3 linked regions of the Ovis aries genome follow. The protein of the gene in region 3 purifies or fractionates together with the protein of the main gene of each other region. This does not show direct contact. Links are inferred from orthologs where the notes say so. Each region holds a gene or a part of one and is shown on either strand. Other genes may lie near its edges.

Region 1 (2,540 bases), on a different chromosome or scaffold from region 3:
AATAGTGCCTTCTTCATAGGGATGTTGGGAGGTTTAATACACAAAGCATGTATAGAACAGTGCCTGATACACAGGAAGCCCTTAGTAACAGTTAACTATTAGTGTCTTTTTGCTTTTGTCAGAAGAAAGTTAGCACTGTTTTGAACAATGTGCTTTAGGAAAAAAGCCTTAATATTAAAGTACCCCATTTTCACTTTTTGAGAAAAGTTCTGATAGAATATGAAAGAAATTGCCATTGTGAGAAAACTGAAATGGTAACATTTCATTTCTCTCTCTCTCTCTCTTTTGAAATCAGATCTTTGGCGTTGCCAGTTCCTTTTACCTTTTGTTAGTCTAGGTTTGATGTGCTTTGGGGCTTTGATTGGACTTTGTGCTTGTATCTGCCGAAGCTTGTATCCCACCATCGCCACAGGCATTCTCCATCTCCTTGCAGGTGGGTCTCCTTCAAATTTAGTTTTACCTCCTTGTTGCCTTAGGGATCACCTGTCGCTGCCTTTTATCATGCTCTTATCTAGCTATGTTGTTTTTTTTTTTTCCCCCTAAAATTTCCTCCAAGGTCTGTGTACACTGGGCTCAGTGAGTTGTTACGTTGCTGGAATTGAACTACTCCACCAGAAACTGGAGCTGCCTGAGAATGTGTCTGGTGAATTCGGATGGTCCTTCTGCCTGGCTTGCGTGTCAGCTCCCTTACAGTTCATGGCTTCTGCTCTCTTCATCTGGGCTGCTCATACCAACCGGAAAGAGTACACCTTAATGAAGGCATATCGTGTGGCATGAGTGGGAAGCTGCCTGCTTTACAGTTGCCATTTTTATGATTTTTTTTTATATTAATATTGTCCCTTACCTCCCCCTGAATTGTTTTTAATTTAACTTTTTTTGTGTGGATATATCATTTTATCCTGAAAACCCATTTTATTTATTCATGCAGACAGTTGTTTCTCAACACAACTAAAATTTAAATGGAACCTGGGTAATTCCATCTTTTAGTCAAACTAATCTAGGTTCAGAGTCCAGACAGAAAAAAATGGGTAGAGTCTTGGCACAAATTTGTGAGGAAAATTGGTAGTAGGAGGTTGACCCATAGCAAGTTCTGCTGATGTCTATTAGACTTTTCGGTAATGTAACTGTATCTGTTTAACTGGAACTTACAGTTTCTTTGGGAAACCTCTTATTGACAAAACTTATATTCACTTTGCTATTGTAGACAGCCAGTCAGCCAGAGATATTAGTGCTGTCTTCAAGGACTTTGGCTATCTAAAATAAGGAAATCATCTAAGATCCTTTTCCCTAAATATTGGCATACAGTTTCATCTGAAGTGAAATACTACAGTTTTTTATCTGTACACTGTCTGTTTAAAAGAAAGGGAGTGTTTACGTGGAATTTTAACTTTGTTAACTATAAAAATTCCAGTTCAGCCAGTCAGGACGATTAACCTTATTTTACTTTTTTTTTTTTTTTAAATCTTTAATATGTCAGTAGGATTTCCAGTATCAGCAAACCTTTCTGGATTTTTGTTCCTTCTCTCCTCACACACCAGAGTTATTACAAGACTGCTTTGTTTTAAATAATACATTGAGGTCACCGAGTAAAATTTTCCAACTGCTGTTTATTTCAGCTAAGTACCATAAAGAAGGTTCCACCGTAATGACCCTCCAGAGCTAGAACTACCACAAGACCTAAGGCTTTGGCTGGTCATTAACTTCCGACTATGGTCTTTATCTCTTGTGGTGGAATGATGTGCCTTTCCTTGCCTAATCCCCTCCTGGTGTGTGTCAGCATTATTTAATGTCTTCTAATTCAGTCATTTTTTTATAAATACGTCTATAAACATTGAACTTAAAAAAAATCTTATTTATTTATTCCATTACTGTAGTACTTGACAGATTAAAAAAAAGTAACAGTAATTTCTTACAAAATCCTAAATCTGTCTTTTTTAAAAAATAAAAAATGAGAAGAGACTCAGAGTTGTGTATAGTGTCTGAGTTTATTAAATTTCAGTACCTTAGGATAAAACGCACTATAGGATTCTGAATGAGGATTACTGTGATTTTCTGAGGGAAGTGCATTGTTGCTCTGAAGGCCTGTCTTTATGTCTACTGTTTGGGTCTCTTTTTTTATCTTCTAGAAAATGTGGGATGCCTCCACTAGAAAATAAGACTATTTTTTTTTAATGTTTCAGTTTTAAGACCTGTTTTCAAAGTATCATGTATTATGTATCATGTATTATGATACATATCATGTATTATGATAATATTATGTATCATTGCTAATGTGGCTAGTTTTTTTTTTCCTGTTTTTTATCTTTTGGCAGTGCCACATGGCAGGCGGGATCTTAGTTCCCCTGCTAGGGATCAAACCCCTTCCCCGTGGATTGGCTGCTCAAAGTCTTTACCACTGGACACCAGGGAAGTCCCAACATGGCTAGTTTTCGTAAAGTCATTTAATGGCTGGTGGATGTTTATGTTCCATATTAAATAATTAAGTCAGCTTCTGACTTAAAGCCAATATAACTCTTCAGTCAATTATTGCCTGTGGAATG
Region 2 (3,650 bases), on a different chromosome or scaffold from region 3:
CCATGTGGTAGAGGACGTAAAGGAGGCCGAAGCCAAACACGCCCGTGATGTGGGCCGTCAGGGAGAGGAGGAAGAGGAAGAAGTAGCGGTAGTTCCGGCGGCCGATGCAGTTGTTCACCCAGGGGCAGTGGTGGTCGAACTCCTGCGGGCGGACAGGGCAGGCTGGGGCCACGGCTGACGGAACCAGACGCCGCTTTAGCTACGTGTGATCACGTTCACCACTTGGTTGCAAAATGTAACAACAGGCTCCTGCGGCTTATCTATCGCTCTGGAGGGCTCCCGGGTGGGGGAGAAGAGCACAGAGCCCGCCGGCCAAGGCAGACACGAGAGACGCGGGCTCCATCCCTGGGTGGGGAAGGCCCCTGCAGGAAGAAACAGCAGCCCGCTCCGGGGCTCTGGCCTGGAGCACCCCACGGACAGAGGAGCCTGGGAGGCTACAGTCCAAAGGGCTACACAGAACTGGAAGGACTGAAGTGACTTAACACATCAATCTGTAACAAAGACCTTCCAGAGGTTGATCAAAGGCCAAGGCCATCTCTCACAGTTTATCCTATGTGACCAAGGAGCTCTGACAGGCACAAACGTCAGAGGCTTGAGGATACATTAAGATTTTTCTTTGGAAAAAACATCTAGTAGGCAACTGCTTATAGCCAAGTAAAAATGGACTGGGAAAAGGGTTAAAAATAAAGGACAAGGAATGCAGGACAGAAAGAGAAATTATACAATTTTTTTTGTGTTTTTAATTTGAAAATTGCACGTTTATTTTTTAATTTTTATCCGAGTATAGGCGCTTTACCATACTGTGCCGGCTCCTGCTGTACAGCGAGCGCAGCAGCCGTCTGTAGCCATGGGCCGCCTTGTGTGGGCCCTGCCCGCCGAGGGCACACAGGGCCCTGAGCAGAGCGCCCTGTGCCGGATGGTGGGCCCGCAGCAGCTCCCTGCTGTAGAACCTGAGTGCAGCAGCGTGGCGTGGGAGACAGAGAGCACGGGGCCAGGGCCAGCAGCCAAGGAGGTGAGCCGGGGCCGGGGCTGGGGCTGGGTGTGGGGGGCCTGCGCCTGCCCACCCGGGGTCCCGCCCGCAGCAGGACACGCACATACACGGCTCTCCACGTACACGGCTGCCAGCACTCTGGCGGAGCGAGAACAGCCCCAGGAGCCGGCCTCGGCCCAGAGCCCGCAGGACTCGCCCCGATGCCGCGGGCGGCCGCCGATGGCCTGGGGGAGGCGTCGCGCGGCGCTCACCTCCACGCAGTTGTCGCAGACGCTGCAGTGGGAACAGCGGGGCGGCCGGTAGAAGCGGCAGGTGGCGCACCATTTCATGCGCACCTGGATGCCCTTGATCTCCACGGTTTTGTATAGTGGCGCCCGGAAGTCGTCTTCTTTGTCTTCATCCTCTTCAGCTGTAGAGAGGAAACGTTCCTGAAAACACCGCGGTGCCGCAACTGTACTAGGCCCTGGGGACAGGCGCAGTGACGCTGCCGTCAAGGAATGCGGCGATCAGCTCTATACACACCACCATGGAAATGAGGAAGTAATTTATTCTACGCTGGGAAAAGCGGGGAAGAGGATGACTCAGAGGCGGCTCTGATATGGATAGGCTGGGATTCTTGGTTTACATATTATGAATATATTTCAAAAGAAATAGATGATTTACATATCAAAGCACATATATAATGAGTCTGCATAACAGTTCAATATTGACAAGTACACGGCTGAGCTACAGAAACCCAAATGGGGAGAAGCGAACTAGTGTGAACCTTCTCTCCGTGCACAAAGCCCCTAGTCAGAGGTCTTCCCCTGACCCCCTACACATGTCAGTACTGTTCTTGGTTCCAGACACTCTCTTTCCCTGAACGCCCTTTCAGTTTTCAGCTATCAGAAACTCACACAGCAGAAAGCAATGCAACACTGTAAATCTACTATTAAAACAAAAAACTCACCACCCCACTTCAAAACTGAAACATTATTTGCCTTCATCTATAGTAAGCAATTTCCATTACTTTAAATTCTTAATCTAAAAAAAAAATACCTGTCGGAAGGAAAAATTAAGTAAGTGATGGTGTAGCGATTATTAAAGTCTTCAAACTCACTGACTAAGGGAAATGCTCACAATGTAACTAAGTGAAAAGGACAAGGTAAAGGGCGGTACAAACTAAAAGGTCCCATTTGGAAACAAACACCGACGGGCACACGTGTGCTGCAGGTGTATGGTGCGCAGGAGCACTGCATGCGTGAGTCTTCAGAACACTGACTGAACGAAAACAGATGGCAATGTAGCAGCAGTTATCCCTGGGCTGTGAAATCACAGGTGACATTCACCCACTTTGCGTGTTTCCCTGGCGATTCAGCTGGTAAAGAATCTGCCTGCAATGCGGGAGACCCGGGTTCGATCCCTGGGTCAGGAAGCTCCCCTGGAGAAGGGAAAGGCTACCCACTCCAGCGTCCGGGCCTGGAGAATTCCATGGAGTCGGACACGACTGAGCGACTTTCACTATCTATTTTATACTTTCTACATTATGAAGATTCTATTTTTTTTAAGGAAAAAATTCAAACACTACTTAGTTTGAAATAACTGATTCTTCCACACCATCGTCTGTCAGAAGTGAGCTCTTGCTCTTCTTACAGTTCTACAGTTTTTGATTCCTCTTAAAAGTCCCCAGTGTATACATCTATGTAAATGTCTTCCCTATCTTCCCTTCTAGACTAAGCTATTTGAAAGCAAGGACCTTAAAAAAAAATCCCGAATGACCACAATCATCAGTAAATATTTGATAAATGGCCATTAAACCTTGGTACAGCAGCCTTCTTTGGCGCTAGGATCTCAACGCGCCTCCTACTACGGTCGCCTTTGACACAGCAGCCGCAGAGCACGGCGACATGGGCTTTGAGAGCGGCGAGTCTCAGACACCTCCCCGCGCTGCAGCTGCCCAGCCCCAGCCTCTTCCACGAGGCAACCGCACACGCGAGAGAAAGTCAGACGCCCGCAGCAGCAGCCACTTCTCTACCTTACTCCAGCGATGCTGGGCCTCACTCTCGCCTCCTGTGCCTGAAGCAGCCCAGCTCTGTGAGCAGCACCCTTCCCCCAGGAGAGGGGAGCCGCTCCTCCTCCCGGCCACTCTTCAGTTACCCGCTTCCCTCAGCTTCAGCCTCTCTCCCCTCTGGCTCCACCTCCTCATGCTACCACCACGTAACGCCTTCTGCATCACGAACAAACGAGACCCTTCCTTCTCTCCCAAGACACTCCTGCCTTCTCTGCTCAACTTCTTGAAAGAAAAACCTTAATCCTCAAGGACGCTGCTCCCTCATGTCCCATTCCCTGCCTTCCAAACTGCAGTCTCGGTAACTTCACTGTCTCTCTCCCACATACGTAAACACATGATTAAAACGGTTCTTGTTGGGAATTCCCTGGTGGTTCAGTGGTCAGGGCTCGGCGCTTTTGCTGCTGGGGCTTGGGTTCAATCCCTGGTCAGGGAACTAAGATCCCACAAGCTGCACAGAAGGACCAAAAACTAAAGATTCCTGGGTGTGCGCTGGGTTCTTCTTGGCCATGCCATGGAAGCTCTGCGATCTTGGTTTCCCAACCAGGGCCCGACCCCGTGCCCCTGCAGCGGACACGCAGAGTCTTAACTACTGAACAACAGGCACGTCTC
Region 3 (4,152 bases):
ATTAAAGGGTACAAATGTGTGTGTGTTTAATGCTTTAAAGTCATACAAAACAGCTGGATGTTTATTTCTCCCTCTATTACATTGCCAAGTACGACGTTCTCACAAAGGGAAACTCAGCCTCAGTGGCAGCGCAATCAGTACAATTTCTAGGTTAAGCAGTAGAGAAACAAAGTAAGAAACCTTTCAATTTTCCATCAAACAAAGCAAGGAAAATTTAAACCTGTAATTTAAATTTAATCTCAACACACTTAAAAAAAAATCAAAGCTTTCTCAAACAGTTTCAAGTATAAGCTAGTGTTTTAACACAAACATTTAAAAAGAAAAAAAAAAAAACTTCAAGGGTAGCTCAGCTGATAAAGAATCTGCCTGTAATGCAGGAGATCTCGGTTCAATTCCTGGATCGGAAAGATCCCCTGGAGAAGGGATAGGCTACCCACCCCAGTATTCTTGGGATTCCCTAGTGGCTCAGATGAATCTGCCTGCAATGTGGGAGACCTGGGTTCAATCCCTGGGTTGGGAAGAGTCTCTGGAGAAGGAAATGGTAACCCACACCAGTATTCCTGCCTGGAGAATCCCCATGGACAGAGGAGCCTGGCGGGTTATAATCCATGGGGTCGCAAAGAGTCTGACTGAGCGACTAAGCACACACACACATAGTACTAAGAATCACAAGTGGTGCTGGGCTACACGAAGTCAGAGAAACGAAAGGGACTCCAGAATTTGCCAAGAGCAACTTCCTATAGCCATCCATGGAGTACTGTAACTGCACCGTTTCTGTATTCAGACTATAAAATAAAGGTTCCACCACACACAGAGTTGAAGGCTCATGTCTGATTCTGCATAAATAGACTTGGCTCAATTATGAGCTGGAAGTTTGACTTTTAAATCCTTTAAACAAAGCATCAAGTGACATCCAAATGAGTGTGGGGCAAAAGAGCTGTTTACATTCTGATCCGAAAGCACATAAACAGTATTAAGTCAGTTTCCCTAAGAGACTTAAAAGTGAAACATTTGATCTATTTCATATAAGTACTAAAAAAGCCTGTTAACTGTAATGCTAAATTATTTTAAAAACCACATTCAGTAGCTCTAGCCAACAGGCAACTTGCTCAATTTCTATCTTCTCAAACCACCATGGAGGTGTCCATCTAGTGTCAGGCTGAGTTATCTCATAACTTGGCGACAACAAACTGCAACAATTACAGGATATTTCACAAACAAACTAATCTAGGAATCATCTTTATAAGGTGTGTTGGGGCCTTAATTTGCATTTAAAGAAACATACTTGGGCCACTAACCTGCTGAGGGTTCGAAATCAAGCCAAAGCGCACTGTCATTGATCTTTGTTGATTATCCCGCCTTGGCAATCAGGTAGAACGACCTACCACCCCACAAGCTAATTTTAAATGACTGCTGCACATCGCTCCAGCACATACTCATCGACACCTACCCACTCCACGGCCAGCACTTCACAGCTCCACACCCATGCCCAATCACCCCTGACTCCCTCACCCTCTTGTCAAAGAGAAAAGAACCGCAAAACCTGCTCCCATCTAACCAGAAGCTGACCTCTGAGCAGGAAACAGGTTCACCTTACAAACCTCAAGACCAGTCTGTCTTTGGGTGTGTGAACACACTTAGGCACAAGAAAACACATACATAGTCTCACTTCGCTGCACCTTTACAGTAAGATCCAATGACCATTATTATTCTTTTTATTAAGTCTGAAGAAAGGAGAAACACCCCTTCCTGCGAGCAAGACCGCCCAAAGGACCCACATTCTGATGACAGTTCTGGCCCACAGGCCAACAAAAGTCGGCTCCCAGCGATAACAGCAAAAGAAACCAGTTGAGGGCCTCCTTCTGAGATTATTTCCGTGTCCAGACCCATGCACTACTCTGTGTTTCTCAAGGTTCGGAGAAGGCCTGTCTGCGGTGCCCAGCACAGCACCGAATAATAAACCAGCACAAGCGGCCGGACGCCCGTCACTCGAATGATGGTGATCTCCTTTGCGTGGTGAGGTTGGAGAATGCAGCTTACACAACACGCCGAGGTGGGTGGCCTGGAGGGTCAGGAATCAAGCGCCTCATCACTGTGGTCACTAACCCGCGGTGGGGTGGGGAGGACGGCAGCGTACCGATTCCGGCCCTGGCCATCGTCAGGTCACCCGGTCCGGCGCTTGGCCTCATTCCTCCTGCTCCCGACCCCGGGTCTTGCTTACCAGACCCGTCCTGGCACAGCCCTGGCCCAGGCCCCTGCTGTGCCCGGCCCCTCCCAGACGCGCACCCTGCCGCCGCCCCGGCCGAGCGCAGGTGCGGGGAGCCCGGCTGCGTACCCGGTTCTCCAGCTCCGCGGGGAACTTGGTCTGGAACTGGCAGCGGGTGCCACTGCTGTAGTCTCGCTGAATGAAGACCTTCCCGGACACCGGCGCCTGCTGCGGCCTCATGGCGAGGACAGGACGGGCCGCGCTGCGGGTTCGGGGGACACCAATCACGGTCATACCCCCGGCCTGGACCCAGGACTCCGGCCCGCCAGCCCCACAGATCCGCCCAGCGCCCAGAGCGGCCCAAGGCCTCCCGGCCCCACTCCCCTTCACCCATGCTGGCACCACGGCCCTTCAGCTCCCTCCCCGGCCCAGGCCCCGCGCCCCCCCACAGCCCGGTTCGGCCCGGGAAACACGAACCCGCCTCCTCTGCCCTCCAGCTGCTGTCGCAACGCCTACGCCTCCACTTACGTCCTGCCGCAAAAGGCCTCTTCCCCGCGCTCCACCTACCCGCCCCTCTGCTCGAACACTTACCTCAAGTCTAGGGCCCACCCTCTCCTCCGGCCGTAAAGCGATCCTGTCGAGACTGCGCGCTACCTTGCGGGGACGCGCTGTGGGCGGGGCCCGGGCGGACTCCGCCCCCCGCCCTGCCCGTAGGAGTCCGGCTGGAAGGAAGAGGCAGGGCGGGGCTGCGGGGCGGGTCCGGGGGCGGGTCCTCAGGCCCGGGGGGCGGGGCTGCGGGCCCTTGCAGACTGAGCTCACCAGGGGGTACTTGGCCTAAAGGCTGGGGATTTCTGCCCTGTGTCATTTCCCTGCTGTGTCATTTCCTCTTTTGTCGTGCGGACAGAGTTTCTAATCACTGACTGAAAGGTTTTATTTTCGCTTTTGATTGGAACTCTCAGTTTACACGTGAGAAACCACTCAACCGTACAAAACAAACTGCTCACCCGCATCCCCTCCTCCAGCTTTCCTGGAGGTGTTGTCTTTTCCTTTCACCCCAAAGATTTTTACCTAGTACCCCAGCCTCTGCCCCTCAGGTGACCTGAGAGGCTTGTGTGGGCCCTTGGCGCCCTCCCCCAGCTCAGCATACCTTTGCAAGGCAACCACAGAAGGCCCTGGTGTGCCTGGCTGATACACTATTCCACCTTATCCTCTGTTTTGCTTTCTCAGGTTTCAGTTACCGCCTCTCCCCTCAGTCAACCTCAGTCTGAAAAGATGAAATGGAAGTTTCCAGAAATAAACAATTCATGTTTTAAATTGTGTGCCTATTCAGTTCTGTCATTCAGTCCTGTCCAACTCTTTGCAACCCCATGGAATGCAATATGCCAGGCTTCCCTGTCCATCACCAACTCTCAGAGCTCGTTCACATGCATGTCTATCAAGTCGGAGATGTCATCCAACCATCTCATCCTCTGTCATCCCCTTCTCCTCCCGCCCTCAATCTTTCCCAGCATCAGGGTCTTTTCCAATGAGTCAGTTCCTCACATCAGGTGGCCAGAGTACTGGAGTTTCAGCTTCAGCATCTGTCCTTCCAATGAATATTCAGGACTGATTTCCTTTAGGATGGACTGGTTGGATCTCCTTGCAGTCCAAGAGACTCTCAAGAGTCTTCTCCAGCACCACAGTTCAAAAGCATCAATTCTTCAGTACTCAGCTTTCTTTATAGTCCAACTCTCACATTCATACATGACTACTGTAAAAACCATAACTTTGATTCAGTTCAGTTCAGTTCAGTCGCTCAGTCGTGTCCAACTCTGTGACCTCATGAACCGCAGCATGCCAGGCCTCCCTGTCCAACTCTGAGTCCACCCAAACCCATATCTATTGTGTCGGTGATGCCATCCAACCATCTCATCCTCTGTTGTCCACTTCTCCTGCCCTCAATCTTT

What was found.
Region 1: the proteins of GOLGA7 (region 3) and CLDND1 purify together in Homo sapiens (affinity purification with mass spectrometry; 3 studies listed by BioGRID and IntAct, counting the BioPlex papers as one, with this or other methods). This does not show direct contact. The link is inferred for Ovis aries from reciprocal best matches to the Homo sapiens genes GOLGA7 and CLDND1.
Region 2: the proteins of GOLGA7 (region 3) and ZDHHC5 purify together in Homo sapiens (co-immunoprecipitation; 3 studies listed by BioGRID and IntAct, with this or other methods). This does not show direct contact. The link is inferred for Ovis aries from reciprocal best matches to the Homo sapiens genes GOLGA7 and ZDHHC5.

The regions. Positions count from the first base shown.
Region 1 is NC_056054.1:163,729,559-163,732,098, reverse strand, and holds the end of CLDND1 (claudin domain-containing protein 1), read left to right. Parts: intron 1-295; coding exon 296-433; intron 434-556; coding exon 557-777; 3' UTR 778-1,963; downstream 1,964-2,540. UniProt on the Homo sapiens protein: Plays a role in negatively regulating the permeability of cells to small molecules.
Region 2 is NC_056068.1:79,735,551-79,739,200, reverse strand, and holds part of ZDHHC5 (palmitoyltransferase ZDHHC5), read right to left. Parts: intron 1,401-3,650; coding exon 1,243-1,400; intron 143-1,242; coding exon 1-142. UniProt on the Homo sapiens protein: Palmitoyltransferase that catalyzes the addition of palmitate onto various protein substrates such as CTNND2, CD36, GSDMD, NLRP3, NOD1, NOD2, STAT3 and S1PR1 thus plays a role in various biological processes including cell adhesion, inflammation, fatty acid uptake, bacterial sensing or cardiac functions.
Region 3 is NC_056079.1:35,764,288-35,768,439, reverse strand, and holds the start of GOLGA7 (golgin subfamily A member 7), read right to left. Parts: upstream 2,844-4,152; 5' UTR 2,798-2,843; intron 2,745-2,797; exon of another isoform or gene 2,684-2,744; intron 2,469-2,683; 5' UTR 2,447-2,468; coding exon 2,336-2,446; intron 1-2,335. UniProt on the Homo sapiens protein: May be involved in protein transport from Golgi to cell surface. The ZDHHC9-GOLGA7 complex is a palmitoyltransferase specific for HRAS and NRAS.